2 linked regions of the Anolis sagrei genome follow. The protein of the gene in region 2 interacts with the protein of the main gene of each other region in a pairwise test. Links are inferred from orthologs where the notes say so. Each region holds a gene or a part of one and is shown on either strand. Other genes may lie near its edges.

Region 1 (3,747 bases), on a different chromosome or scaffold from region 2:
AGAGGGAAATACAGTAATGCCTCGGTTATCCAACCTTTGCTCATCCAACATTTTGTATTATCCAATGCAGTCTGCCTCCCGCCCGGAATAATATCCAGGGTGGGAGAAATAAAGAATCCTTGTCTGTTTTGGTGCTAAATTCATAAATACAGTAATTATGACATAACATTACTGTGTACTGAACTGCTTTTTCTGTTGATTTTTGGAAAAACATTTTTTTTGGTGCTTGTAAAATTGTAATGTAATTTGACATTTAATAGGTTTTTCCTTCATCCCTGCTTATTATCCAATATCTCTGCTTATCCAACGTTCTGCCGGCCTGTTTATGTTGGATAAGCGAGACTCTACTGTAGTAAGTGTTCACTTAACAATTACTAGGATATTGGCTGGTAGTTATCTCCATAAGACAACATTACAATTGTCATAATTCAAAACCACAGATTTAGCTCAATGTTGGAGTCACAAAAAAGAGGCAACAGTAAAATATTGTGTAAATGCCATTTATTTACTTAAATGTTAGCAATAACGAGCCATGTTTACAGAAAATGCTTCTGCTGTACTTCCTAAACAGGAACATCAGCCCGTTTAGCATGCCTTGAGAATGCTGATTTTATCTGTAAAATCTTTGATTTTTAATACTTACTAGCTGTATCCGCTACATGTTGCTGTGGCCAATCTTCCCTCCCTCTTTCTCTCCTTCCCTTCTTCTTTCTTCCTTCTCTACCTGTTTCTTTCCTCACGGCCTTTGCTCTTTGGTTCCATCCTTCCTTGTCTGGTTCCTTCCTTCTGTCCTTTCTTCCCTCTCTTTCCTTCCTTCTTTCACTTTTTTATTTCCTTCTCTCCTTCATTCCTTCTCTACCTTTCTTTCTTTCCTTCGTTCCTTCCTCCTTTCTGTGTACGTGTTTTGTGTGTATATATATGCATATGTGTGTGTATATAAACAGAGGCTAGATGGCCATCTGTCAGGGGTGCTTTGAATGCAATATTCCTGCTTCTTGGCAGGAGGTTGGACTGGAAGGCCCATGAGATCTCTTCCAACTCTATGATTCTACGTGGTTTTCCGCATGCGCTGTAATGTATTTTTTGGGTTTTTTTGGCTTTTACAGTCTTATCTGCTATGTTTCTCAATGGTTTTAAGAGTAATGGTCACTCGTTGGCCTCATAGGTGTATTGTGTCCAAATCTGGTGTCAATTCGTCCAGTGGTTTTTGAGTTCTGTTAATCCCACAAATGAACATTACATTTTTATTTATATAGACTAGCCACCCCCTGCCACGCGTTGCTGTGGCCCAGTCTGTGTTTACGTGTGTTGTGTGTGTATATATGTTTATATGTATGCGCATATTTGTATATGTCTGCTTGCATATATGTGTGTTTAGTTTTGCGCATGCCTTGTAATGTATTTTTTGTTTTTAAGTCTAGCTTGCTGTGTTTTATCGGTGATGATCACTCGTTGGCCTGATAAGTATATTGTGTCCAAATTTGGTGTCAATCTGTCCTGTGGTTTTTGAGTTATGTCAATCCCACAAACGAACATTACATTTTTATTTATATAGACTAGCCATCCCCGCCACGCGTTGCTGTGGCCCAGTCTGTGTTTATGTGTGTTGTGTGTGTATATATGTGTGTGTGTGTGGTTTTGTGCATGCCTTGAAATGTATTTTTTGTTTTTAAGTCTAGCTTGCTGTGTTTTATCGGTGATGATCACTCGTTGGCCTGATAAGTATATTGTGTACAAATTTGGTGTCAATCCGTCCTGTGGTTTTTGAGTTACGAACGAACATTACATTTTTATTTTTATAGATTTTATTATTTATGTACCTTGGTCACGTATTTAATTTCTCGGGAGAAAAGGGGTCGTGCATGGGTAAAATTGAAGCAGCCCTGCCCTAAACAGCCACCTTTTACGGGAAGCCGTTTCACACACTCCCGGCGGGGCCCCGAGAAACGCTCCTCCATCCTCTGGAGAGGCCTCGTTTGGAGAGAGAGAGGTGTTGTGTTGCTGCCTGCCTTTGCCCCGGGGGAGCGGGCCACAACAAGCCAGGCAAGGCAGTGGATTCGACGACAAAGGAGGAGAGAAAGGGGGCCGAGAGAAAGCGAGCGAGCCGCGCCGGGCCCCATTGTTGTTCCTGGCAGGCCGCGCAGGGCCTCCCTCCCTCCCTCCACGCTAGGCCGCGCCCCCTCCCGCGCGCTCTCCCCCTCAGGCCCTCTTCACAGGCAGCGGCAGGAATGGCGCCCAATGGCGGCAAAGAGGCCTCCGCTCCGCCTGAGCCCGCGCGGCCTAGCAGCGCCCCAAGCCGCCTTACCTGGTTAAACTCCTCTCCTACGTCGGCGTAGATATCTATGTGGTCCACGCCGTCCGCCATATTCCGCCGCCACCTCCTCCTCCTCCTCCTTCCCCCCGCCCGCCCTGCGCCGCCGCTCCTGCAGCCGCCAGACCCGCCCGCTCGCCCGACACCACAGCTGCCGCAAGCGAGCGAGAGGGAGGGGGGCGCTTGGAGGGGCTCCGCGTCACTTCCGGGAGCGAACACAGCAGCTTCCGCTAAGGCAGGCCTTGGAGTACTCCGCTCTTTATGTGCCCCCTCCTTCTTTCCCTCGCGCAGCTCGCTCTGAATCGAACCCCGCGTGTAGCCACGCCCCTTGAGGCAAATCTCTCCCCCCTCCTCCCCCCTCCGTTGGGAAGCGCGCGCGCAGTTAGGAAGGAAAGGGCGCCATTGGTGGCCTTTGGTTCTAACCCGCCCCTCTCTCTCAGTGCACTGCAGATTGAATGGCGTTTGATAACCCTTGTAACTGCTATGCCTCAATGGTACGGATGGAAACCTAGGGGTTGTCTTTGACAAGGCTCCAGCCGCCTTTGACAGAGGAAGCTAAAGGCCTGTGGCCGCTCTGGGCCAGAGTTTATTTATTTGTCGTGTCAGGGCAACCAGTCAATTGTATTACATTTCTAACAGAACAAAACAAACAGACAAAACACATAATTTGCAAGTTTGGTAGTTGATTAAATGTCCTTTGAGCACTTGGGGTTCCTCTGGTGTTGCTGCAAGAAGGTCCTCCATTGTGCATGTGGCAGGGCTCAGGTTGCATTGCAGTAGGTAGTTTGTGGTTTGCTCTTCTGCGCACTCGCATGTCATGGATTCCACTTTGTGGCCCCATTTCTTGAGGTTGGCTCTGCATCTTGTAGTGCCAGAGCGCAGTCTGTTCAATGCCTTCCAAGTCGCCCAGTTTTCTGTGTGCCCAGAGGGGAGTCTCTCATTTGGTATCAGCCATTGGTTGAGGTTCTGGGTTTGAGCCTGCCACTTTTGGACTCTCCTTTGCTGAGGTGTCTCTGTAGATCTTAGAAAACTATTTCTTGATTTAAATCGTTGACATGCTGGCTGATACCCAAACGGGATGAGCTGGAGATGTCTCTGCCTTGGTCCTTTCACTATTGGCTGCTACTTCCCGGCAGATGTCAGGTGGTGCAATACCGGCTAAACAGTGTAATTTCTCCAGTGGTGTAGGGCGCAGACACCCCGTGATAATGCGGCATGTCTCATTCAGAGCCACATCCACTGTTTTAGCGTGGTGAGATCTGTTCCACACTGGGCATGCATACTCAACAGCAGAGTAGCACAGCGCAAGGGCAGATGTCTTCACTGTGTCTGGTTGTGATCCCCAGGTTGTGCCAGTCAGCTTCCGTATGATATTGTTTCTAGCACCCACTTTTTGCTTGATGTTCAGGCAGTGCTTCTTGTAGGTAAGAGCACGG
Region 2 (3,747 bases):
GAGGTGCACGAATTGTGGGAGTTGAAGTCCAAAACATCTGGAGGGCTGAAGTTTGCCCAAGCCTGTTATAAAGGCAATAGGTGTTTACAAACGCCTGTGTGTCATGAGATTTGGGGTTTTTCTTTTTTGGGGGGGGGGCGCTCAAAAACCACACTGTATTATAAAGATTTTAATGGACTGCCTCGGGAAACTCTAGAGGTGCATGAATTGTGTTGAGTTGAAGTCCAAAACACTTGGAGGACTGAAGTTTGCCAAAGCCTGCTATAAAGGCAATAGATGTTTACAAACTCCTATGTGTCATGAAATTTGGGGGGGGGGGGAGTTGGGGGGGGGGCTCAAAAACCACGATGTATTATAAAGATTTTAATGGACTGCCCCGGGAAACTCTGGAGGTTGTATGAATTGCGTTGAGTTGAAGTCCAAAACACTTGGAGGGCCAAAGTTTGCCCATGCCTGTTATAAAGGCAATACGTGTTTACAAACGCCTGTGTGTCATGACATTTGGGGTGTTTTTATTTGGGAGGGGGGGCTCAAAAACCACTATGTATTATAAAGATTTTAATGGACTGCCTCTGGAGGTTGTATGAATTGTGTTGAGTTGAAGTCCAAAACATCTGGAGGGCTGAAGTTTGCCCAAGCCTGTTATAAAGGCAATAGATGTTTACAAACTACTGTGTGTCATGAGATTTGGGGGTTTTCTTTGGGGGGGGGGGTCAAAACCACTATGTATTATAAAGATTTTAATGGGCTGCCTTGGGAAACTCTGGAGGTGCATGAATTGTGGGAGTTGAAGTCCAAAACACTTGGAGGACCGAAGTTTGCCAAAGACTGTTATAAAGGCAATAGGTGTTTACAAACTCCTGTGTGTCATGACATTCAGGGGTTGTTTGTTTTTTTGGGGGGGGGGGCTCAATAGCCACTATGTATTATAAAGATTTTAATGGGCTGCCTCGGGAAGTTCTGGAGGTGCACGAATTGTGGGAGTTGAAGTCCAAAATATCTGGAGGGCTGAAGTTTGTCCATGCTTGTTATAAAGGCAATAGGTGTTTACAAACTCCTGTGTGTCATGGGGTTCGGGGGTCAAACACCACTATGTATTATAATGATTTTAATGGACTGCCTCGGGAAACTCTAGAGGTACATGAACTGTGTTGAGTTGAAGTCCAAAACAACTGGAGGACCGAAGTTTGCTCAAGCCTGTTATAAAGGCAATAGGTGTTTACAAACTTCTGTGTGTCATGAGATTTGGGTTTTTTTCTTGGGGGGGGGGGCTCAAAAACCACTATGTATTATAAAGATTTTAATGGGCTGCCTTGGGAAACTCTGGAGGTGCATGAATTGTAGGAGTTGGAGACCAAAACACCTGGAGGGCCAAAGTCTGCCCATGCCTGTTATAAAGGCAATAGATGTTTACCAACTCCTATGTGTCATGAAATTTGGGGGTGGGCTCAAAAACCACTGTGTATTATAAAGATTTTAATGGACTGCTTCGGGAAACTCTGGAGGTTGTATGAATTGAGTTGAGTTGAAGTCCAAAACACTTGGAGGGCCAAAGTTTGCCCATGTCTGTTATAAAGGCAATACGTGTTTACAAACTCCTGTGTGTCATGAGATTTGGGGGGTGGGGTTGGGAGGGGGGGGCTCAAAAACCACTATGTATTATAAAGATTTTAAGGGACTGCCTCAGGAAACTCTGGAGGTGCATGAACTGTATTGAGTTGAAGTCCAAAACACCTGGAGGGCCGAAGTTTGCCCATGCCTGTATCTACACGGTAAGACTTCCGTTTTACTGCCCTAGCTCAGCGCTATGTAATCCTGGGATTTGTAGTTTTGAGGAGGCAGCAGCACTCAGAGAACTCGAGAGGCCTTGCTTGGAAAACGACAGCTCAAAAGACTCCATAGTGAAGAGTGCATTAATTCTACAGTATAGGAGAGGAACTCAAGGTGACACAGAGCGAGGAAGGGAGCTGGAGGGAGCGAGAGGCACCCCTTGCCCACCAGCTGGGGAAAAGGAGGGCAGGAGGGGCTCCATTTCTACTGGAAAAGGCGGGGGTGCGAAGTTGTAAAGGGACGAGAAGAGCTTCTTTCCTCCCTCTCCCCCCCCCTCCCCAAATGAACGTGACTCCTTCCTCGCTTTCCCCCCCTCCCAGGCAGCAGGCAGCAGGCCCCCTCCGCCTTTCCCTTTCCCTCCTCGGCCAGGCCAAGAGCGAGCCAGCGCAGGCTGTTTATGTGTCTGTCAGGCCCTCCCTCCCTCGCTCCCTCGCTCCCTGCCTCAGCCTCTCTTCCTTCCTTACCGTGGCTCGGAGCCCAGCTGCTTGGTGCCGAGGGTGGCGCTGGGGGTGGTTTTGAGGCTGCCTCCGTCCCTTCAGCCTTCGGCCCCGCTCCTCACCGCCGGCACGACCACGACTACGACTACTGCCGCCGCCCCGGCGCAGACACCAAAGGATGCCATCTCACAGAGGAGGAGGAAGAAGAAGAAGAGGAGGAGGAGGAGGCGGCATTAGAGGGTCTCCTCACAGGGAAGAAGGAGAAGGAAGAGGAGGAGGAGGAAGAGGAGAGCTCGCGCCCCTCGCGGTGGCGCGCATGCGCGTGCACCCCAACCGTCGAGCAAAGAAGGGAGGAGGAGGAGGAGGCGCGAGACAGCCTGAGATGGAAAAGGGAAAGGGGGGGGGGGAGAGAGAGAGGAGAGAGAAGAGCTAGAGGCGGGGCTATGACGGAGAAATGGGAGGAAGCGCATGCGCAGAAGCCTACGCCGGGTACAGGCCAGATGATGGGAAACTTTTGTCAAAAGCGCCCAGCAATTTAGTTCTGGAGTTGGAGAGCAATCCAGGGCTGAACCAATGCTATTAAGGGGGGGTTGGGTAATGGGGTAATGTAGTAGTCAGGACTGAACCAACTGGTAAGAAAAGAAGAGGGGAGGTATATGGAATGAGACTGAAGCATTCAATCTAAATTTGACTTAAATCAAGAAATAGTTTTCTAAGATCTACAGAGACACTCACTGGAACACCTCAGCAAGCAAGAGTCCAAAAGTGGCAGGCTCAAACCCAGAACCTCAATCAATGGCTGATATATGATGTTTTTAATTATTGTTTTGTGATTTTATTGTTGGAAACTGGCCCGAGTCCCCCAATAGAGGGGAGAAGACCGGTATACAAAATTGCTAAATAAAATAATAAATAAATACTAAACAAGAAACTTCCCTGTGGGCACACAGAAAACTGGATGACTTGGAAGGTGCTGAACAGACTGCTCTGGCACCACAAGATGCAGAGCCAATCTTAGGAAATGGGGTTACAAAGTGGAATCCACAACATGCGAGTGTAGAGAAGAGCAAACCACTGACCACCTGCTGCAATGCAACCTGAGCTCTGCTACATGCACAATTGAGGACCTCCTTGCAGCAACACCAGAGGCACTCCAAGTGACCAGATACTGGTCAAAAGACATTTAATGAACTACCAAATTTTGTGTTTTATCTGTTTTTTTTTTTTTTTGGTTTTGTTTTGTTTTGTTCTGTTAGAAATGTAATACAATTGACTGGTTGCCCTGAGACGACAAATAAATAAATAAAATACTGCTCTGGAGTTGGAGAGCGGTGCTATTAAGGGGGGGGGGGGTTGGATAATGGGGTAATGCAGTAGTCAGTCAGGACTGAACCAACTGGAGAGAAAAGAAGAGGGGAGGCAGATGGAATAATAATAATAATAATATATACCCCGCTACCATCTCCCGGAGGACTCGGTG

Evidence for each region. The genes of interacting proteins can lie anywhere in the genome.
Region 1: the proteins of WWP1 (region 2) and CPSF6 interact in binary tests that used the Homo sapiens proteins (3 or more experiments, as listed by UniProt). The link is inferred for Anolis sagrei from reciprocal best matches to the Homo sapiens genes WWP1 and CPSF6.

Annotation. Positions count from the first base shown.
Region 1 is NC_090025.1:143,241,730-143,245,476, reverse strand, and holds the start of CPSF6 (cleavage and polyadenylation specificity factor subunit 6), read right to left. Parts: upstream 2,420-3,747; 5' UTR 2,366-2,419; coding exon 2,306-2,365; intron 1-2,305. UniProt on the Homo sapiens protein: Component of the cleavage factor Im (CFIm) complex that functions as an activator of the pre-mRNA 3'-end cleavage and polyadenylation processing required for the maturation of pre-mRNA into functional mRNAs.
Region 2 is NC_090024.1:37,387,783-37,391,529, forward strand, and holds the start of WWP1 (NEDD4-like E3 ubiquitin-protein ligase WWP1), read right to left. Parts: upstream 2,666-3,747; 5' UTR 2,295-2,665; intron 1-2,294. UniProt on the Homo sapiens protein: E3 ubiquitin-protein ligase which accepts ubiquitin from an E2 ubiquitin-conjugating enzyme in the form of a thioester and then directly transfers the ubiquitin to targeted substrates.